Linked DNA regions of Oryctolagus cuniculus. The protein of the gene in region 1 interacts with the protein of each later gene in a biochemical or structural test. Links are inferred from orthologs where the notes say so. Each region holds a gene or a part of one and is shown on either strand. Other genes may lie near its edges. The genes, in order: NUP85 and NUP43.

What was found.
Region 2: the proteins of NUP85 (region 1) and NUP43 form a complex in vitro, tested with the Homo sapiens proteins (2 studies listed by BioGRID). The link is inferred for Oryctolagus cuniculus from reciprocal best matches to the Homo sapiens genes NUP85 and NUP43.

Annotation. Positions count from the first base shown.
Region 1 is NC_091448.1:5,326,715-5,337,950, reverse strand, and holds the start of NUP85 (nuclear pore complex protein Nup85), read left to right. Parts: upstream 1-3,776; 5' UTR 3,777-3,901; coding exon 3,902-3,934; exon of another isoform or gene 3,935-4,317; intron 4,318-9,619; coding exon 9,620-9,713; intron 9,714-11,236. UniProt on the Homo sapiens protein: Essential component of the nuclear pore complex (NPC) that seems to be required for NPC assembly and maintenance. As part of the NPC Nup107-160 subcomplex plays a role in RNA export and in tethering NUP96/Nup98 and NUP153 to the nucleus.
Region 2 is NC_091436.1:18,264,335-18,275,515, forward strand, and holds the start of NUP43 (nucleoporin Nup43), read left to right. Parts: upstream 1-5,175; 5' UTR 5,176-5,246; coding exon 5,247-5,366; intron 5,367-5,639; coding exon 5,640-5,762; intron 5,763-7,422; coding exon 7,423-7,500; intron 7,501-9,131; coding exon 9,132-9,312; intron 9,313-10,907; coding exon 10,908-11,043; intron 11,044-11,181. Other genes in the region: PCMT1 (protein-L-isoaspartate(D-aspartate) O-methyltransferase), read right to left, coding at 2,675-2,909. UniProt on the Homo sapiens protein: Component of the Nup107-160 subcomplex of the nuclear pore complex (NPC). The Nup107-160 subcomplex is required for the assembly of a functional NPC.

The DNA.
Region 1 (11,236 bases):
TATTTATTTATTTTATTTTTCAGGGATTTAGGCCATTTTCCACTGCTTTCCAGGTGCATTAGCAGGGAACTGGATCAGAAGTGGAGCAACCAGGACTCAAACTGGCAGAGGGTTGACCTACTGTGCTTCAACGGGAGCCACCTGGTTCGGGAAATCTTTAGAAATGCAAATATGCGGCCGGCGCCGCGGCTCACTAGGCTAATCCTCCACCTAGCGGCGCCGGCACACCGGGTTCTAGTCCTGGTCGGGGCGCCGGATTCTGTCCCGGTTGCCCCTCTTCCAGGCCAGCCCTCTGCTGTGGCCAGGGAGTGCAGTGGAGGATGGCCCAGGTGCTTGGGCCCTGCACCCCATGGGAGACCAGGAAAAGCACCTGGCTCCTGGCTCCTGCCATCGGATCAGCGCGGTGCGCCGGCCGCAGCGCGCCGGCCGCGGCGGCCATTGGAGGGTGAACCAACGGCAAAGGAAGACCTTTCTCTCTGTCTCTCTCTCTCACTGTCCACTCTGCCTGTAAAAAAAAAAAAAAAAAAAAAAAAATGCAAATATGCAGGCCCTGCCCCAGACCTACTGATTTAGAAGCTGTTTTTAAGGATTTATTTGTTTGACTCTCTCTGACTCTCCCTTCTCTGTCACTCTACCTTTCAAATCAATAAATCTTTTTTAAAAAGTTGGAAATTTTAGGGGACCGGCTCTGTGGCATAGCAGGTGAAGCCAACGTCTGCAGTGCTGGCATCCCACATGGGCAAAGGTTGAGTACCGGCTGCTGCACTTCTGATCCAGCTCTCTGCTGTGGCTTGGGAAAGCAGTAGAAGATATCCTTGGGCCCCTGCGCCCACGTGAGAGACCTGGAGGAGGCTCCTGGCTCCTGGCTTCGGATTGGTGCAGCTCCAGCTGATGTGGCCAACTGGGGAGTGAACCAGCAGATGGAAGACCTCTCTCTCTCTGCCTCTCCTCTCTCTGTGTAACTCTGACTTTCAAACAGAATAATAATTAAAAAAAAAAAAGTTAGACATTTTAAAACCTCTTGAAGGATTTTTCCATGTGCTTTTCATTCTTCATGTTTCTTTTTAAATAGCTAACAATATCTTTAAAATATTTATTTAGCTATGACTCTATGACTGGGCTCTCAATACAGATGATTTTGCCCCTAGTGGAAGTTAGCAATGTCTGAAGATATTTTTGGTTGTCACCACTGTTTTTTTTTTTTTTTTTAAGATTTATTTATTTGAAAGTCAGAGTTACACAGAGAAGGAGAGGCAGAGAGAGAGAGAGAGAGAGAGAGAAAGAAAGAGAGAGAGGTGTTTTCCATCCGCTGGTTCACTCCCCAAATGGCCGCAACTGCCAGAGCTATGCCGAGCTGAAGCCAGGAGCTAGGAGCTTCTTCCAGGTCTCCCACGTGGGTGCAGGGGCCCAAGGACTTGGGCCATCTTCTACTGCTTTTCCCAGGCCATGAACCGGGGCCCACAGCTGGGACTCAAACTGGCACCCATATGGGATGCTGGCACTGCATAGTGGCTTTACCCACTATGTCACAGTGCCGGCTCTAATTTTTTAACTTTTAAAAACGTGTTTGTGGGGCCAGAGCTGTGGCGCAGCAGGTGGGTTAACATCCTGGCTTGAGGCGTCAGCATCCCATATGGACAAAGGTTCAAGACCCTGTGGCTCCACTTCCAATCCAGCTCTCTGCTATGGCCTGGGAAAGCAGTGGAAGATGGCCCAAGTCCTTGGGCCTCTGCACCTGCATGGAAGACCCGGAAGAAGCTCCTGGCTCCTGGCTTCGGCTCGGCACAGCTCTAGCAGTTGCAGCCAATTGGGAAGTGAACCAGCAGATGGAAGACCTCTCTCTCTCTCTGCCTCTCCTCTCTCTAACACTGACTTTCAAATAAAATAAATAAATCTTTTTTTAAAAAAAGTATTTGTAGGCCGGCGCCGCGGCTCACTAGGCTAATCCTCCGCCTAGCGGCGCCGGCACACCGGGTTCTAGTCCCGGGCGGGGCGCCGCATTCTGTCCCAGTTGCCCCTCTTCCAGGCCAGCTCTCTGCTGTGGCCAGGAAGTGCAGTGGAGGATGGCCCAGGTGCTTGGGCCCTGCACCCCATGGGAGACCAGGAAAAGCACCTGGCTCCTGGCTCCTGCCATCGGATCAGCGCGGTGCGCCGGCCGCGGCGGCCATTGGAGGGTGAACCAACGGCAAAGGAAGACCTTTCTCTCTGTCTCTCTCTCTCACTGTCCACTCTGCCTGTCAAAAAAAAAAAAAAAAAAAAAAAAAAAAGTATTTGTTTGCTAGGCAGAGAGGAAGGAGCCAGAAAGATGGAGAAAGAGAGCTCCCACCCAACAAACAGTTCACAGCTCCAGTGTCCATGATGTCTCTGGTTTGGGCCTGTGCTGACGGGGATGCCAGGACCCAGGAACTGGGTAGCCCCATCCAAGTCCCCGTGTGGACGCCAGGATCCAAGCACTTGAGCCATTACTGCTGCCCCTCATGGTCTGGGCCAGCAAGAGGCGAGTCAGGAACCGAGGGGTGCAGAACCAGCTACTCCGACACGGGACGCAGGCGTCCTGACTGCCAGGGAAAACGCCTGCCCTACTTTGAAAATGTTATCTGCTACTCAGTGTTTAGTGTCTTTTTGGAAACAGTAGGCAGCTTTGAACCCCTTAGGTCAGGGGTGGGGAACACTGGCCTGTGGGCCGTGTAAAGCCCCTAAGTCACTTGGTCTGGGCCTGCCGAGGGCACCGGGCGTAGGACTTGAAGTTCAATAGGTGTGTAGCAGGCACTTTTGAAAAAAAAAAGTATTTATTTATTTGAATGCAGAGACCCAGAGAGGAGGGAGAGAGAGAGAATGCATCTTCCATCTGTTGGTTCACTCCCCAAACGGCAGCAATGGGCAGGGGCTGGGTCACGCTGAAGCGGGGAGCCAGGAGCTCCAGCTGGGTCCCCGACGTGGGTGCAGGGGCCCAAGGACTTCCGCTGCTTTTAGCAGGGAGCTGGATGGGAAGTGGAGCAGCCGGGACTCGAACCCGCGCTCCCCGACAAGGACACACAGCTGGGCGCCAGGACAGACTCCCAGTTCCGGCAGGGACAGGCGCGTTCGGCCCAGGGGACGCCCTGCTACAGCCTTTCGGGCCAGATTCCTCCCGCGCTGAGCTGCTTCCTAAGACTTCCAAGTCGCGAGTTTGAGTTCGCCCAGGTGGCCGAGGGGGAGCGGAGCCCGGCGCCACCGTCCCTCCATGTGTCACTCCGAAAACACCTGCTGCAGGTCACTGGAGCCCCTCTCTCCTGCGCCAGGGGCGTCACGGACGCGCGCGCCGCTTCGCACAGAACCAGCATCAACAGGCGTCCACTCCTCGCGGCCGGTTTAGACGCCATCAATTAGGTCCGCGCGCCTCTCGCGCTCCGGAGAGGCAATGGCGGCGACAGCTTCCTAACGTACGCCCTTTGGATCGCCGGGGCTCGGAGACGCTGTTGTGCGGACGCCACGCAGCGCAGACGGGGGAGCCAGGGCCGCCACCGTGGGCACTGACCCCGGCCACCGCCCGGCGACACCCACCCGAGTCCGCGCGTGCGCAGGCGCACTGCCGTCCGCCCCGCGGTCTCTCCCGCCGTCTCCGGGGGCCTTCTCTCTGCCCGGCGCGGGGCTGTCCGCGGCGCTGCCTGACCGGGCGAGATCACGCCTGTGACTATAGGCTGCCCTCGCGCTGTCCTTCCCGGACGCTCTGCGGAGGCAGTGAAGGAGGGACGCATGGCGAGGGCGGCACAGGGGTGGGTCGTGGCTGAGAGGCGAGGCCTCGGCGGCGCCGCGGGGTTGGGCGGCAGGCGCAGCCGGGGGCGCCCGGGCGGGGTCCTCTCTCGCGGCAGGCTCCTGAGCGGGAGGCCCGAGCGGAGGAGCGTGTCGGCGGCGCGGCGCTATGGAGGAGCTGGATGGCGAGCCGACAGTCACTGTAAGGGAGCCCGGGACTGGCCTGCTTGCGCTCGCCGCCCCGGGACGGCGTCCGCTGGGTCATCTCAAGCTTGTCAGCGCGGCTCCCTGCCGGCCGCGCGGTGCCCAGCCCCTTCCTCGGCTCCGTTAGGAACTAGGGTGCAGCCGTGCTGTCGCCGTCCCACCCCTCTTTTTGTCTCCCTGACCCTACTGCCTTCGCATTTCCTCGTGGGCACGAGACTGGGCTCGGGCTGAGCAGAGGAGCTGGGGCTTCCCTGTTTGTCCTGAGTTTCTGCCTGCTAGTCAGTGCTAGCCCGAAGTTTAGTGAACGTATTTATTCTCTCGGGGACACTGTTTTTAACATCGCTGTGCGTTCAGTTCCGCTTGGACTCTCGAGTGTGTCAGGTGCGGATGATCGGCGGTAAAGCAGTTCCTGGGCTCTGCACAGGAGAAGCCCGCCGGTCTCGCGGCCCGCGATCTTTTCCCTTCCTTGACAAGAGTCAGCCCGTGACGGGCTCGCAGAGTTCCGCGTGTCTGGGTACCCTTCAGTTCCACTCATTTTCACGAAAGGTTCTGGACCTATCCGGAGCGGAGCGACAGAGAGAGAGAGAGGTGTTCCGTGGCTGCAGCAGCCGGGTTCGGGCCAGGCGCGAGCCCGGGGCCAGAGCTCCATGCTGCTGTCCCGGAAGGGTAGCAGGGGCCCGAGCGTGCGGGCTGCGCTGGGAGGAGCCCAGGTTGGAACCCGGTTCTCAGATGTGGGCTGCGGCCTCCCAGGTGGCGGTGAAACCCGCTGTGGCCCTGCAGAGCACCCTGATGAGGGCCCTGCGTCTCGTCTGGAGTCTGTGCGTGTGGTCTTGGAAGCAGGCAGACTCCTACCGTGCTTGCTTCGGGTCTTACGCGTCTTGCTCTACTGTGTGGTTAATTTTCGAGTGCGTGTGGAACACTTGCCCTTTGCCGGCCTGCTCATCCGTCAAGATTTGGCTAATCCGACTCTCTCCCGTGTGCCTGTACCTTTGGCTTCTGTCTGCCTGCTGTTTATTGCTCTTTTTTTGGTTTGTTTGAAGATTTATTGATTCACTTGAAAGTCAGGGTTACACAGAGAGAGAAGGAGAGGCAGAGAGAGAGAGAGAGGTCTTCCATCCGCTGGTTCACTCCCCAGTGGCTGCAACAGCTGGAGCTGCGCTGGTCTGAAGCCAGGAGCCAGGAGCTTCCTCCAGGTCTCCCACGTGGGTGCAGGGGCCCAAGGACTTGGGCCATCTTCCACTGCTCTCCCAGGGGACAGCAGGGAGCTGGGTCGGACGTGGAGCATCCGGGACTCGAACTGGCGCCCATGTGGGATGCTGGCACTGCAGGCAGCGGCTTTACCTGCTAGGCCACAGCGCCGCCCCCTATTGCTCTTCTTGTAAACTGCCCGCATTTGGAGGGGAGAGGCTTTTTCACGTTGTGTTCTTAGAGCCCAGCATTGCTTAGTTGTTCAGGGATTGCGTTAGGTCTTCCTGAGGCCCGAACTCGCTTGTCTTGAGACTAGGCCGTCGCTAGCCGAGTTCTGTGCGGCAGGGTCTCTGTAGGCAGTGCGTGAAGATCCTAAAGCCCCTGCCCTTGTGAGCGCCGTCTGTTTACAGGGCAAGTGATGGCCATGTGAGAGGATCACTCAGGGACTGAGAAGTGTCGTTCAGGGAGAGTTGCTGGTAGCCTCAGTTGGGCTGTAGACGTGGTGATCAGACTCGGGCTCCTGTCAGGGGCGGCCAGGACTTACCGCTGGGTCAGACACAGGTGGGAAGGCCGGAGCCGGAGCTGGGGTCACTCCTGCCGGCTGGAGACTGGGTGAGGTTTGGAGGTAAGGGTGAGGTTTGGAGGTAAGGGTGAGCCTCAGGGTTTCCCTCCTGGCTGCTGATCTGGGTTAGCTTGTAAGTCGATTTGTGAAGCCGAGGCGCAAAGGGCTTGGTCTGTTTCGGGGATAATTGTCTGGAGGCGCCAGCATAGCTGTGCGCAGGAGTAACGATTGGAAGTTCCTGTTCTTCAGAATCAGTTCAATTACTTAAAGATTTTAGGGGCTTGGGGCCAGTGCTGTGGCACAGTGGGTTAAGCCTCTGTCTGCAAGGCCAGCATCCCATTTGGGCACCAGTTCAAATCCTGGCTGCTCCACTTCTGATCCAGCTCCCTGCTGATGCACCTGGGAAAGCAGCAGAAGGTGGCTCAAGCATCTGGGCCCGTGCACCCACGCGGGAAAAAGCTCTTGGCTTTGGCTGTTGCAGCCATTTGGAGAGTGAACTAGTGGATGGATGATCTCTCTGTCTCTGTCTCTCCCTCTCTATCTGTAACTCTGACTTTTCTTTTCCTCTCCTCTCCTTTTTTTCTTTTTAAGAGTTACACAGAGAAAGGAGAGGCAGAGAGAGAGAGGGAGTTCTTCCATCCGATGGTTCACTCCCCAAATGGCCACAGCACCTGGAGCTGAGCCGATCCGAAGCCAGGAGCTTCTTCCAGGTCTCCCACTTGGGTGCAGGGGCCCAAGGACTTGGGCCATCTTCCACTGCTTTCCCAGGCCATGGTAGAGAGCTGGATCGGAAGTGGAGCAGCCAGGACTCGAACCAGTGCCCATGTGGGATGCCGGCGCTTCAGGGCATTAACCTGCTGCATCACAGCGCCAGCCCCAACTCTGACTTTCAAATAAATATTTTTAAAAAAATTTGGGGGCTGGCATTGTGGCACAGCCTGTGACACCAGTGTCTCATGAGTGCCAGTGCAAGTCCTGGCTACTCTGCTTTCCATCCATCCTCTGCTGATGTGCCTGGGGAAGCAGCAGATGATGGCTGTGCCACCCACATTGGGAGACCCTAATGGAGTTTCAGGCTCTTGGCTTGACCTGGCCCAGCCCTGGCCATTGTGGCCATTTGGAGAGTGAACCAGGGCCTGCTGCCTGCAGTGGTGGCATCCCATGTAGGCACCAGTTCAAGTCCTGGCTGCTCCACTTCCCATCCAGCTCTCTGCTATGGCCTGGGAAAGCAGTAGAAGATGGCCCAAGTCCTTGGGCCCCTGCACCTGCGTGGAGACCCGGAAGAAACTCCTAGCTTGAGATTGGTGCAGCTCCAGCCGTTGGGGCATTCTGGAGAGTGAAGCAGCAGATGGAAAACTCTCTCTCTCTCTCTCTCTCTCTCTCTCTCTCTCCTTTCTCTCTCTGTGTATTCTTTTTTTTTTTTTTTTTGACAGAGTGGACAGTGAGAGAGAGAGACAGAGAGAAAGGTCTTCCTTTTTTTTTTTTGACAGGCAGAGTGGACAGTGAGAGAGAGAGACAGAGAGAAAGGTCTTCCTTTGCCGTTGGTTCACCCTCCAATGGCCGCTGCGGCCGGCGCACTGCACTGATCTGAAGCTAGGAGCCAGGTGCTTCTCCTGGTCTCCCATGGGGTGCAGGGCCCAAGCACGTGGGCCATCCTCCACTGCACTCCCTGGCCACAGCAGAGGGCTGGCCTGGAAGAGGGGCAACTGGGACAGAATCCAGCGCCCCGACCGGGACTAGAACCTGGTGTGCTGGCGCCGGAGGCAGAGGATTAGCCTATTGAGCTACAGCGCCGGCCTGTACTCTGACTTTCTAATAAGTAAGTCTTTAAAAAAAAAAAAAAAAAAAAAAAGAGTGAGCCAGCAGATTATGATCTGTCTTTGCTTCTCTCTTTGTAACTTTTTTTAAAAATATTTATTTATTTTATTTGAAAGTCAGTGTTACACAATGAGAGAAGGAGAGGCAGAGAGAGAGAGATGTGTCTTCCATCCGCTGGTTCACTCCCCATATGGCTGCCACGGCTGGAGCTACGCCAATCCGAAGCCAGGAGCCAGGAGCTGCCTCTGGGTCTCCCACGCGGTGCAGGGGCCCAAGGTCTTGGGCGTCTTCCACTGCCTTCCCAGGCCACAGCAGAGAGTGGAGCAGCCAGGCCTTGAACCGGTGCCTATGTGGGATGCCAGCACTGCAGGCGGCGGCACAGTGCCGGCCCCTGTAGCTCTTTTAAATGAGCAAGTCTGAAATATTTTTACCTTCCCTTGTTCTAAACTGTAGACCATTACAGTGTATGCACTGGTTAGGGTGCAACCTTTCTGCTCGTTGACACTTGAGAGATGGCGGCCTGGGTGAGGCGCCCACCAGGCTGCCTCGCATGTCCAGGTGCTGCTAGTGACGGAACAGAACGGGCCCATCTCAGATTAGCACTTCCTAACTCTCATGTCTGCTCATATCTGTGATTGTACTTGTAAGTCTTTGTAAATTTTTCTCTAATTTTTGTAGCAGCTTTATTTGTAATTGCCCGAAGTTGGAAGCAACAAAGATGTCTTTCAGTAAAGAGTGTCTGGTATAACCCGACAGTGGAATACCATTCCGTGCCAAAAGAAATGAACTATACGACGTGAGAAGACTTGGAGGAAGCGTAAATGCTTATTCCTAAGTGGGCCGGCATGTGGCTCTGCAGGTTAAGCTGTGCCTGCAAAGCGTGCATCCCAGCCCTGTCTGTTGTGGCCGACTGGGGGAGTGAACCAGTGGAAGGAAGATCTCTCTCTGTCTCTCCTCTTCTCTCTGTAACTTTGCCTTTTAAATAAATAAAAAATAAATCTTAAAAAAAAAAAAAAAGTCAGAACATCACACTGCTGAGTGAAAGGAGCCGATCTGAAAAGGCATCTGTGGTATGAGTCTGACATTCCGGGAGAGGAGGGCTGTGGAGACAGATAAAAGATCTTTGCTGGGACTTCAAAGTCATTTAGAAAATATATTTATTTGAAAGGCAGAATTCCAGAGAGGGAGAGACTCATCTTCCATCTGCTGACTCACTCCCCAGAGCCAAGAGCCAGGAACTCCAGGCAGGTCTCCCATGTGGGTGTCAGGGGCTCAAGTACCTGGGCCATCGTCTGCCACCTCCCAGGTACGTTAGCATGAAGCTGGATCGGAAGGAGTTGGGGTGGGGGCCGGCGATGTGGCCTAGCTTGTAAGACTGCCCCTGTGAGCCAGCATCGTATGTGGGCGCTGGTTCAGGTCCCGGCTGCTCCACTTCTGATCCAGCTCCCTGCTAATGTGCCTGGGAAGGCAGCAGACGATAATCTTAAGTTCTTGGGCCCCTGCGCTCATGTAGGAGACCCTGAAGAAGCTCCTGGCTTCCATCTGGCCCAGTCCTAGCCCTTGAGACCATCTAGGGAGTGAACCAGCAGATAAAAGATCTCTCTCTCTGGAAGTCTGCCTTTCAAATAAAAAATAAACCTTAAAAAAAAATATATGAGGTGGGACTTGATCCTAGGCACTCCTTAGGCTTCCTAAGAAGCAGCTTGATCCCATGTCCACCAACAAACACCAGCCCCTGCTTATACGTCATTTGAAAAGCAAAGGGGCCGGTGCTGTGGTGCAGCGGGTTAACGCCCTGGCCTGAAGCGCCAGCATCCCCTATGGGTGCCGATTCTAGTCCCGGCTGCTGCACTTCTGATCCAGCTCTCTGCTGTGGCCTGGGAGTGCAGTGGAAGATGGCCCAAGTCCTTGGGCCCTGCACCTGTGTGGGAGACCTGGAAGAGGCTCCTGGCTCCTAGCTTCAGGTCGGCTTAGCTCTGGCCATTGTGGCCATTGTAGCCTCTCTCTGTCTCTACCTCTCTCTGTAACTCTGCCTTTCAAATAAATAAAAATAAATTTTGAAAAAAGTAAAGCCTTCAGGGTGAGTAACAATTTTCTCATCCTGTTTTTTGATAGTTCGTTCCAGGTGTGAATTCTAAGAAGAAACAAATGTGTTTTGACTGGGGTCCGGGGGAGTTGCTGGTATGTGAAACCTCCTTCAACAATAAAGGTAGGCATTTGTTCTGTTTCTGGGTCCAGATGGTTTACCTTGGCATACTTGTTCATTTTCTATCCCCCTCCTTTTAACAAAAGATTATTTATTTGTTATTTGAAAGGCAGAGTTAGAGAGAGGAGAGGTCTTCCATCCGCGGGTTCACTCACCAGATGCCCACAACAGCCGGAGCCGGGCCAATCCGAAGCCAGGAGCTTCCTTCAGATCTGCTACCCGGGTGCAGGGGCCCAGGCACTTGGCCATTTTCCACTGCTTTCCCAGGCAATAGCAGAGAGCTAGATCAGAAGAGGAGCAGCCAGGACATGAACTGGTACCCATGTGGGATGCCAGCACTGCACACAGAGGCTTAAGCCTACTGTGCCATAGCGCTGGCCCCAATAAATAAATCTTAAAGCCGCTTGGAATGCCCACATTCACTAACAGAGTGTCTAGGTTTGCGTCCTGGTCCTGCTGCTGATCCAGCTTTTTACTAATCCGCACTGTGGGAGCCAGCAGGTGATGCTTCAAGTATTTGGGTCCTTACCACCCCTGTGGGAAACTAGGATTGAGTTCCAGACTCCTGGCTTCTCCCTGGCCAAGGAGGGAGCCAGCACATGGAAGATTTCTCTGTCTCTCTGCCTCTCAAGTAAAGAAATAAAATGTAAAAAAACACACACACACACACAAAAAAAAAGGAAAAGAAGGGAGGGCTTAGCCTAGTGATTAACGCGGTAGTTAGATGCTCACATCCCATGTCATGGTGTGTGTGTTTGATTCTCAGCTCCAGTTCCTCACTGATGTCTGGCTAATGCAGACCCTTGGAGTTGGCACAAGATGGTTCAGATGGTTGGGTTCCGGCCGCTCACAAGGGAGATCTGGAGTGAGCCTCTGGCTTTGGGCCTGGCCGCCGAGCGGGGCATGGACCAGCAGAGGGGAGTGCGCTTGTGCGCATGCTCTCCGAGTTTCCCTTCTTCTGTTTCGGTCTCGAAATAGATAAATTTTTAAAAAGATTTCCTTTATGTTAATAAGCCCTGCTGTCTTTGCCTTTTTCTTGTGCAGTGACCAGATTCCTTTCGTAGTTTCTCCCGCATTGTGGAGCTCTGCAGTCCCAGCGTGAGCGGAACGGTGCTTCTGTCCCAGATGGGGCTGGAGAGTGACAAGGCATCCTTGGCTTGGGCTGCGCCACGTCAGCTGTTGGCCATGGCTCTTCCCCTCCCCCAGTCCAGGCTCCAGTAGCAGGATGACACCGAAATCTTGACATTAGATTTGCTTTCTCCTTTCAAGAGAAAAATCTCAAGAAATGAAGAGATTTTCTTTCTTTCTTTCCTTTTTTTTTTTTTTTTTTTGATAGAGTGGACAGAGAGAGAGAGAGAGAGAGAGAAAGGTCTTCCTTTTGCCATTGGTTCGCCCTCCAATTGCCGCCGTGGCCGGCGCATCACGCTGATCCAATGGCAGGAGCCAGGTGCTTCTCCTGGTCTCCCATGGGGTGCAGGGCCCAAGCACCTGGGCCATCCTCCACTGCACTCCCTGGCCACAGCAGA
Region 2 (11,181 bases), on another chromosome or scaffold:
GCCTCCTCTCCTGCCATCCAAATGGGGAAACCCAGATGCAGTTCCAGGCTCCTGACTTTGGCCTGGCCCAGCCTCAGGGGCTATGGCCAGCTGGGGAGTGAACCAGCAGATAAAAGCTCGCTTTCTCCATCTCTCCTTGTCTCTCTGAAACTCTGCCTTTCAAACAAATTAATTACTTAAAAAAAAAAAAAAAAAGAACCTCAATCTCAGCAAAGCACCATATAAAATATTAATCCTCTCATTATCTTCAGCTTCCTAGTTTGATAATCTTAGGTTTTTCACTGCCACCCTTAATGTATGTCTGCCAAAGGTAAGTACAATTCTAATACAAATATCTGTAACGGTGCAATAGAAACTTTCTTCTCCTATAGACTAAGGTTACACTAAATGGAACGTAATACAATCAAGCATCTAGGTCTAGTACAGCCCAACAGAACTTTCTGTGATGGTAGATATCCTCTATATCTGCAATGTGCCACAGCTTCATGGGAATTTTTAGCTCTTGACATATGGCTAATATAACAGAAGAAATGAATTTTTAATTTTACTTAGTTATAATTAAAGTAGACACACATTGATATTAAAAAATCATACAAATATCAATGCACTGCAAGTTACTTGCTAGTATGTTTCCACACATAAATAAAAAAGAACTCTATTAGCTAGAATTACTTCAGCAAGAAGTTGAAACTAAAGTTGCACAAGTGTTACAAAAGAGACAGCAACTTGAATACTCCAGTTTCCTCTTACCAACCATCAGTCTTTATAAAACTAAGTATTTTCAATATCAACGATGGTAAATACTCCAAAATATATTTTCTGAAAGAAAGACATCCTGGGAAATTTCAGGTAAGAACAGTAATACAATACATTAAAGTGGGCAAAGATCTAGTCTTGGCTTACCAAAAAATCAGGCCAAAATGAAGAGACTGACTGATTACCAGTCCCTGCCACAGCCAGGAGTCCACTCTGATAATCTACAGGTTGAAAATGACTGACTCACCATTCATGTATAGACTGTTTCACATACGTATACTGCAATAGCAGTACTTTAATCACATGAAGAAATTTTATAAATATATTTACAACATATTGAGGTTATGTGCAATTACTTGGGAACCCAAGTCACACACACTGCCGCAATTACATAAATGTCTACTTCCAAACACCTGACCAGAAAGCAAACACTGGCAATGGGTGACAAAATTTTGACATCTAAACAATCTTTTTTGCTAAACATTAAAAACACAACTTTCAAGTATTGTTTTTAAAAGTCCGATGACAAATAAGTACTGACCATGTGCCAAACAGTGTTTCTCTCATTTATCTTTGCATTCCTAGCACAGATCAAAGCATCCACCCTATCTTCAAAACATTCATGGAAAATACCTATCGTAAATAACCTATGGGCGGGTTTCAAACAATTTTTGCACCAAAATAAACTCATCTTTTAATTCCGTTTTCCATGAACTTTTTGAAGTTCTCTAGTACACTGGACAATGAGTAGGTATTTGTGGTGGGGAAAAAAATGAATACTAAACTATTTTAGATGATTCAAAGATCACTTTTTAAAAAATGTTCCCAGCCTCCAAGGTGGTTCCAGATCCGGTCGAGCAGTAAGACAACCACACGAAAAAAAACTTAAAATAAAACACAGGACAATTAAAAATACTACGTGGCAGGATAAGATTATTTGCAAAGTTAGCTGCAAAGAAAGAGCTATCAATTCTTCCTAGAGTGAGATCCTTCTGGCCTCCCGAACAGACGCCGACACTATATTTCAATTTTAAAAAAAGAAAGTGACACAGCACTCCATCCCACCCTGAAATCATCATCAGAGGAAGGAATACAAAAACCAAAAGAGAATGGTGTGTGTGTGTGTGTGTGTATGTATGTGTGTGTGTATAAACTTCCATAGCAGGTTTTTAAAGCCTACGGTAGGGCTGAAAAAAGAGCATTCCATCCGTAAACCCTCTGGCTGGATCTGGGAGCTCTAAAGGCTCCGAAAACACAAGTCTCCCAGGACCAGCGTCCCCTGCACTCTGTCCCTCCGCCCCCCACGGAGCTTTCCACTGGACAGCAGCCCGCATTCGCACCCGCAGGACTCTCGCCTTCCCCCCCTCCGCTCGCCTGTATCAGACAGCGGCATCTCCCTCCAGAGGAAAACACGCAGGGCGGGGGAGGCGACCGCAGAGAAAGCTCGCAGGGAAGCCCCTCAAGGAGGCCGGGGGGCCAGCGTGGGGTCCCCCTCAGTTCCGACTCAGGTGCCCGGCCCGCATCTCCCCCACCCCGGAGTCACGCCCCTCGCCTGCCCGGCTGCGCTCGGATCGCCGACTCCAGACACAGCCCAGTCATCACCGGTGCGGCGCCCCCCGGCTCGCAGGAGCGCGGGGAGACCACCACCCCCGCCCCCGCCCCCGCCCCAGCAGCAGCAGCAGCAGCAGCAGCAGCGGGCCCCCACGCGCGCTCTCGCTGCCCGTCCGGCTACGGACCGCTCCAGGGGGAGGCGATCGCCGGCGCGTGCAGCCCGCGACTGCCGTTGCAACTCTGCCCAAGCCCTCCGACAGGCGCGGAGGCGGACGGGTGGCCGACCGAACGCTGCGGCCGGCCCGGGGGACCCGGTCCGGGCCTAGCCTGCCCCAACTGCCCCACACCGGGCGGGGGTGGCACTTACTGCGGAGATTGTGGATTAGCTCCGAGTGGCTGGCGCCGCCGGATTTCCAGGCCATCGCTAAGCACACTCGGAGCAGGTACAGAACCACCTTCAGCGCGGCGACGGTCCCCAACAGTTTCGCTAAGAGTGAGACCACCTCCCACACGGTCACCGCCCCGCTCGCGTCCCCGCTGTCGCCGCCGCTGCTACTGCCGTCGCCGCCGCTGCCGCTGCCGCCACTGCGCGCTCCCGGCATCCCCCGCGGCACGCATGCGCCCTGCGACGCCGCGCGGCCCTCGGGTGCGGCCGGGTGGGGCCGCAGGCGGGGGAGGCCTAGTGCCCCCGCCGCCGGTGCCAGTGGCCGCTGCGGCTGCCCTGGGGCCGCAGGGCGGCAGGGCTGAGTCAGCGCCGCCGCAGCCCCTGCGTGCCCCTTTCTGAGGCCTCGGGCTGTCCGCCGCCCTTGCCCTGCAGCCCTGGGGGTGGGGGCGGTCTCCTGCGCGGTCCGGGCGCCGGGCGCGGCGGCGGGATGACGGGGCCGATCTGTGCCGTGGCCGTTGGTGGCTCCGCAGTCGGCGCTGTGTCACCTGAGGCGAGCGGCGGGGCTGCTCCTATAGCGGTCCAGATTGTTAGACGGTGGGCTCCCTCCGTCCCGCCTCACCCAACCCCGTCGACTAATATTTGGGTCGATTAGAGTCAAGGCTGGAGTGACGGCGCCGAAATGATGCTCTTAATCGAGCCCCAAGGGCGAGGACCCTCTGCGACCCGAGAACACCAGCCTCCGGCTTTATGACAGGCGCACCCCTGTTTGGTTATGCAGAAACAGTGGGAGCCAGGGAGAAAAAACTGAGACTGGGGCGTGCGGTGAGGCGGGGATGCTTCGCTCCTTTAGAGCAAACGTAAAAAGCTGCAACCGGTGGAAAACGCCCCAGTGTCCTATGGTGAATGTGTGGTTCTCCCAACGCAAGTGTGCGTTGTCAGTAAACGGAGCCTCACGGATTCCGCTGTGAGGCTGGGCTCGAACCGTGCCCAAGCCCGGGATGGGGAAACTGCCTGTGGCGTCCAAGCTGCAGACTGCGAGCTAGCACGGAGTCTGACAGAATGCAGCCGTCGTTTAGGTCATTCGGTAAACGTTTAGGAAAGAAACAAAGCTGTGTCACCGCGTCTAAGCTCTTAGATCAGCAGCAGTTTTCAAGTTCTCGCGCTTACCAGGTTCTGTCGAATGTGACACTGTTCAAAAATACGCATGTCCTCTTGTCGGGGTTCTGTGGTCGTAAACGAGCCCACACGCAATTGTTCTTTCCGTGGATATATGATAGGAATGAAATTGTCGACTTGGGGCTCATCCGCTTCCCGGGCGCCCGTTCCGTCTCTCCGCAGACGGCTGGCGATCTTCGGCTGCAGAGCAGACCCTGGTAACTCTCACCGAAGCCGGCCGCGGCGGTTACGTTTCGTCCACTCCTTGCACAAACTGTCCCGGTGAAGTGGGACCCCCGACCTCGTAAACCGGCAGCCCGGCACGGCCCCCTTTAAAGAGACAACATATAGTTATGAATACAGCGGTGTAAGAGAGTTGCCAAGGTGGAATAAATCATACCTCTTGGAATCAGTAGGATTTCCACGCTAAGGAGCTTTGGAAAAGGAAACCAGAAACGGGGCAAAATGCGTGCTCTTAGTGATGCAGATACGAAACGTTCTGTTTTATTCTCCTCCTCATCCTCCGCTGAGGCCGTCAGGGAAAGGGTGAAGGGTGGACAGGATTCTGAGAGGAGGAGTGGAAAGGTATTTTAGCCATAACCAAAGGCACTAAAGGAACCCGCAGCACTCATGCCCCAGGCTGTGGACGTTAGGTATCACAAAATCCGTTCTTAATTATGTAATGGAAGTGGAGCCGGTGTTGTGGCACAGTGGTTTTAGCCGCCGATTTGCGTCCTGGCTGTTCCCAGCTTTGACCTGACCCAGCCCTGGCCTAAGCCACCATTTGGGGAGTGAGCCAGCGGATGGAAGAGCTCCCTCTGTGTGTGTGTCTCTCCCTCTCTCTGCAACTCTGCCTTTGAAATAAATCTTTTCTTAAAAAATTACGTATGTAAGTGAGTTGACCAAGGTTACAGTTAGGTAACCTTAGGTAACTGGCAGCAGAACTAAAACTGGAGTCAAAGGTTTAGGATAATAAATTCGTACTTTATTGGAAATAGTGCCATGAAGATTGAAGGATTTTGAGTTGTTTGCTATGCATAGTGACAAGCAGCTGATGTGCCTGCAAGGTGGTTTCCCACGCAGTGATTTTGTTCTTAAGTTATTGCACAAGCACGTTGTCTCCATGTTCCTCCTCTGCATTTGCATGTCGGGTGCAGATCCCACTGCACATAGGCCGGGGCACTCTTGGTTTTGCTCAAAGCCACCTCGCTGATCATGGGCGCCTCAGACCCCTCCTGGTCCGGGCCCGGCAGTGCCTGCACCGCCTTCCGCTGGGAATTGGCCCTTCGCGGCCGCCGTCGCCCGGCGAGCTCCCATCCAATCAGAGCTCCGCGGGAAGGGGCGGAACCCGGAGGCGCGCGGCGCGCGGCTGGCTGTGCCTGCTGCTGTTGCTTTCAGCATGGAGGAGCTGTATGCCAAGTTTGTGTCTGAGAAAATCAGCAAAACCCGCTGGCGGCCGGTGCCTCCGGGGAGCCTGCAGACCGCCGAGACCTTTGCCACGGGCTCTTGGGACAATGAGGTACCCTGGCTCCGGGGCGGGACCCCGGGGCTCCGTCCTCTCCCACGCCCAGGTGCCCTGGAGCGCGCGACTTTCCATCCTCCCCGGCCCCGGGTCCGGGGGCTCGGCTGCAGCCAGCGTGGGTGTGCCCGAGCCCCCGTCTTCTTGTTTCACATTCTGCCCATGCCGTGTGAGATGCTTTGGAGCCCAGGTTGCCTTAAGGCGATACGCATTGGGTTTACTTTCCAGAGTTGACGGTTCTGTCATCTCAAGATGAAGCCGTTTGCTTTACAGGAGAATCACGTTTCACTGTGGTCTATCGGAGATTTCGGAAACCCGGACTCTGATGGAAGCCTGGAAGGAGACCATCGACTGTTGTGCGATATCAAACACCATGGTGACGTCATGGACTTACAGGTAAACGCGTCCAGTGCCCAGAGGCTCGCTTCTAAAGAAAGCCAGAGCAGTGCATTTAGAGTGCAGAGACCTGAGAGCTCTCCTGGCCTCACCCCTAGTTTACAGGAAAGCGAGTTCTCCATAGGTTAGGATTTACCCAACGTAGACTGATCACTTAGTGGCACAACCTCCCAGCTGCAAGCGATTTTTTTATTTTATTATTATTATTTTTTTTTTGACAGGCAAAGTTAGTGAGAGAGACAGGTCTTCCTTCCGTTGGTTCACCCCTCAAATGGCCACCTCGGACGGCGCTGCACCGATCCGAAGCCAGGAGCCAGGTGCCTCCTCCTGGTCTCCCATGCGGGTGCAGGGCCCAAGCACTTGGGCCATCCTCCACTGCCTTTCCGGGCCACAGCAGAGAGCTGGACTGCAAGAGGAGCAACCGGGACAGAATCCGGCGCCCCAGCCGGGACTAGAACCCGGTGTGCCGGCGCCGCAGGCGGAGGATTAGCCTATTGAGCTGCGGTGCCGGCCTGCAAGTGATATTTTTGGAGTTTTACATAAGACCGTTTAATTCTAATTACATGTCTGTGAGTCAGTATTGTTATTTCTATTTTGCCCGTGAGAATGCTAAGAATATTATCTTTCGAGCACACACTGCTAAGGATCTCAAAGTTCATGGAAAATGCATATTATAGATAAACTATGCATGGGCTTTTAAAAATTTTGCACTAGAATGCATTATCTTTTAATTTCATTTTCCATAAACTTCTTGAATTATCCTCATTTGTGACAAATACTGTGCAGGGTAGGTCTTTTAAATTTTTTGATTTCTCATAACCCACCCTGAGTAGGATTAGTACTCCCTGTTTAAAAATACAGATTTTTAAAAATTTACTTATTTGAGAGGTAGAGTTAGAGACAGAGAGAAAGTTCTCGATCTGCTGGTTCACTCCCCAAATGGCTGCAATGGCCATAACTGGGCTGATCTGAAGCCAGGAGCTTCTTCCCAGTCTCCCATGCGGGTGCAGGGGTCCAAGGACTTGGGCCATCCTCTACTGCTTTCTCAGACCATAGCAGAGGGCCGGGTCAGAAGAGGAGCAGCCAGGATGGAAACCAGGGTGCGTGTGAGATGTTGGCCCTGCAGGCGGAAGCTTAGCCTATTGTACCACAGCAGTGGCCTCAGGGAAATTTCTTTTTTAATGTATTTGTTAGAGCTCCCATCAACTGGCTCATTCACCAAAGCCTGCGTCAATCAGGAGCCAAGAGCCAGGAACTCAGTCCAGGTCTCCCATGTGGGTAGCATGGACCCAATTACTTGAGTCATTACCATTGCTTTGCAGGACCTGCGTTAACAGGAAGCTGAAATAAGGAGCCAGAACTGGGTGTTGAACACAGGCATTCTGAACTTGGGCATCTCAACCCAACATCATAGCAAGCCAAATGCCCACCACATTCCAAGGCTTAGAGAATTTAACTTGGCCAACCATTTATTCCTCATGAAAATACCTTTATTTGTATAGCAATGTTAACTTTTAGATCTAACAAATGTTATTTGGGTAGCACTTACAGGCTTTTTACCTTTTACAGTTACGTAATTTGCTATAAATTCAGTTAAACAACGGGTTTCCTCCCTACTAGTTTTTCTGAATCTATAATAAGCAGGAATTTTTCTGTTTAGTTTTTTGACCAGGAAAGAATTGTAGCTGCTTCATCAACAGGATGTGTAACAATTTTCCTTCACCATCCAAATAACCAGGTAAAGAACTTTGGTTTGAAAAGTGAATTTGTATTTTAGTTATTTTTAGAAAGGTGTAAGGAAAACCGTATTTAATAGTTTTAAAGCCTTACGATATGAAGGGGGGGAAAATATCATTACTTTTTGCGAATGTAATTCTAGAACCATGTTTTTGTGAGTTGTTTGTTTGTTTGTTTGTTTGTTTTTGAAAGAGAATTACAGAGAAAGGAGGGGAAAGACAGAAACAGAAAGGTCTTCCTTCCACTGGTTCATTTCTCAGTGGCTGCATCAGCCAGGGGTGGGCCAGACCAAAGCCAGAAGTCAGGAGTTTCTTCCAGGTCTCCTGCTTGGGTGCAGGGGCTCAAGCACTTGGGCCATCCTCTACTGCTTTCCCAGGCCATTAGCAGGGAGCTAAATGGGAAGTGAAGCAGCCAGGACTTGAACCATTGCCCATATGAGATGCCGGCATTGTAGGTGGTGGCTTTACCTGCTACGCCACAGCGCCAGCCCTGTGAGCTGTTATTGAAATTGGGTAAACCTGCAATGCATTCTGTTAGTTTGGATGAAGCAATATGGTAATTTGGCAGGTAATTTTCCATAATTCTTTAAGTTCCTATTCTAGTCTTTTGAAGAAAGAGCCTCTTTTAGCTCAGATACTGTAGCAGAGAACAGGATCGGCTGTCTTGCCTCTGTGGATAGAACTCAGGTCTGCAATTGAAGCCAGCATCTGCTGTATGAAGACATGACTTATTTTTCAGTACTTTCTTGTGTGCTAAAGCCCATCAGGCCCAGCCTGCAGAACCTACTGGTGCAGGCAGTTCCTTAAAACAGCCCCACCAGTAATAACGCAGTTTGAAGTTGCTGGAGGAGAGTGTTCATTTAGGTTTTAAGGTTAAATGCCACCTTACTTACAGGCATGCCTAATAAACATAAGACCCAGATCTCATTAAGTATTTTTCTTAATGGAGTCACTTATGAGAGACTGTAGCGATTTATTTATTAGATGTACTCATTCCCATAAAAATTTAGTTGTTTTTGAACATTCAACTACCTCTTACCTAAAAACAATTATGTTAGTTTGAGATAAATGTGGAACATTGTTAGACCACATTCGTTTTCAGCCTAGTTCAGTGTGCACAGAGCTTTGGCAGTAATTGAGTATCAATACTGTAAAGGAGAAAGGAGAGTTTTGTTTTGTTTTGTTTTTGTTTTGTTTTTTAGATTTGTTTATCTATTTGAGAGGCAGAGTTACAGACAGAGGAAGAGACAGAGAAAGAGGTCTTCCATCTGCTGGTTCACTCCCCAAATGGCTGCGATGGCTAGAGCTGGGCCAGTCCAAAGCCAGGAGCTTCTTCCAGGTCTCCCACATGGGTTCAGGAGCCCAAACACTTGGGCTATCTTCTGCTGCGTTCCCAGGCCATTACCAGGTAGCTGGATCAGAAGTGTAGTAGCCAGGACTCAAACCAGCATCCATATGGGGTGCCAGCACAGCAGGCTGATACTTAACCTACTATGCCATAGCACCATCCCCAAGAGTTATTCTTTTAAAAAGAAGGTGTGAGGTAGGATTTAAAAATACTCTTGTTGGGGGAAAGCACTAGTTCCCTAGAGCTTTCTTTGATTAATATAGTGTGCTCATTTCTGATGCCTAGACTCTATCAGTCAGCCAGCAGTGGACAACAGCTCACTACCACACGGGTCCTGGCAGCCCTTCCTACTGCAGTGCACCTTGCACAGGGGTTGTGTGCGACAACCCAGAAATTGTCACAGTTGGAGAAGACGGTCGCATAAATCTCTTCAGAGCGGATCATAAGGAAGCTGTGAGAACTATAGGTAAGAAAAATCATTACGTGTCTTTCCTCTGTACATAGCAAGTATGCATGTGCCATATGCTAAATAAATAAGGCTAAGTGAGGGTTAAAAATGTACAAGGCCTTTGTCAAAACTGTGTTGATGAGGCTAGTAAGAGACTGACCACAGAGAAGAAGGAGGGTTGACAATTTCGTCTAGGTTTTAGACCATAAGTAATACTAAAAGATGACATACCAGGCAAAAGGAGTAGTATGGAAGCAGGATACAGTTAAACAGCTATTGACAAAAATGTAGCCGGACCTGACTTTAGGTATTTGTCTAAGAGAGACAAATGATGAATCCAGAAAGGTAAATGGGACCAGGTTGTAAAGATTCTCTAATGCTAAACCACTGGGGTTACGTTTTCAGGTGGAAAACTGGAGAGCCATCGAAAGTGTTTAAGCAAGGGAGTGATAACACTCCATGTCATGCTTTTGAAGAGTAGTTCTAAGGTGGTGGTCTTCAGCCATGCCTCACACAAACTCGCCTGGGGTATTTCTTTTTTTTTTTTTTTTTTTTTTTTTTTTTTTTTTTTTTTTGACAGGCAGAGTGGACAGTGAGAGAGAGAGACAGAGAGAAAGGTCTTCCTTTGCCGTTGGTTCACCCTCCAATGGCCGCCGCGGCCGGCGCGCTGCGGCCGGCGCACCGCGCTGATCCGATGGCAGGAGCCAGGAGCCAGGTGCTTTTCCTGGTCTCCCATGGGGTGCAGGGCCCAAGCACCTGGGCCATCCTCCACTGCACTCCCTAGCCACAGCAGAGGGCTGGCCTGGAAGAGGGGCAACCGGGACAGAATCCGGCGCCCCGACCGGGACTAGAACCCGGTGTGCCGGCGCCGCTAGGCGGAGGATTAGCCTAGTGAGCCGCGGCGCCGGCCTCGCCTGGGGTATTTCTAACCATCACGCTAGATCTCTTGGGTCATAATCCCTAGGGACTGAGCCCAGGCATCGGGTGTTACTTATGGATTTTACTTCTGAAATACATGACTTGTGTGATTGTTAAGAACCGCTGCCTGATGGCAATGAAGAGGAGTGGTACAAAACTAACACCTGTAAGTGTATGTTAAGTTACGCAGTGTAAATTCTAAACGCCCTAGGAGCTCAAAGAAAAGGATCATTGGGACAATCAGGAAGGATCTTCTGGAGGAGAGAGCTGATGAGAGTAAAGATGAATAGATCTGAGATAGAAAAATACAAATAATAAAATCTGTAGTTGGCACTGAGTTTGGGCTCAATTTAAAATAAAAGTTCAGGGTCAAGGACTTGAAGAGAAAAAATTGGATATAAAAGAGCTTCAACAGCTATCTCAGAAATACAGGGTAATAGTCTTAAGAGCAGATAAAGGAAGAAATCTGAAAACTGAGTCCTCCACTCAGAAAACAGTTCAGATGTCCTGTGAGTTTTGTTTTTCTGTCCAAAAAGAGTCTAAACCTATACATTATGAGTTTTTCTGTAGAGATTATGCTGTGATTTATTGGAAATGTTATTTGTAATATTTCCATCAGTAGAAGGCATGTGATTTAACATTTTCTTAGAAAAAAGAGCTCCATTAACACACACTACCATTTTTTAAATTTGTAGACAATGCAGACAGCAGTACACTCCATGCTGTCACCTTCCTTCGCACTCCTGAGATTCTCACGGTAAATTCAATTGGACAATTAAAAATATGGGATTTCCGACAACAAGGAAATGAGCCCTCTCAAATATTATCACTGTAAGTTTTGATGTGTAATGCAGTGTTAATTTATTCAATTGTTTACAGCAATTGGCTTTAAACCATATTGTATTTTAATTGCATTTTAAGAGAATAACCCCTGGGCCCGGCACTGTGGTGCAGTAGGTTAATCCTCTT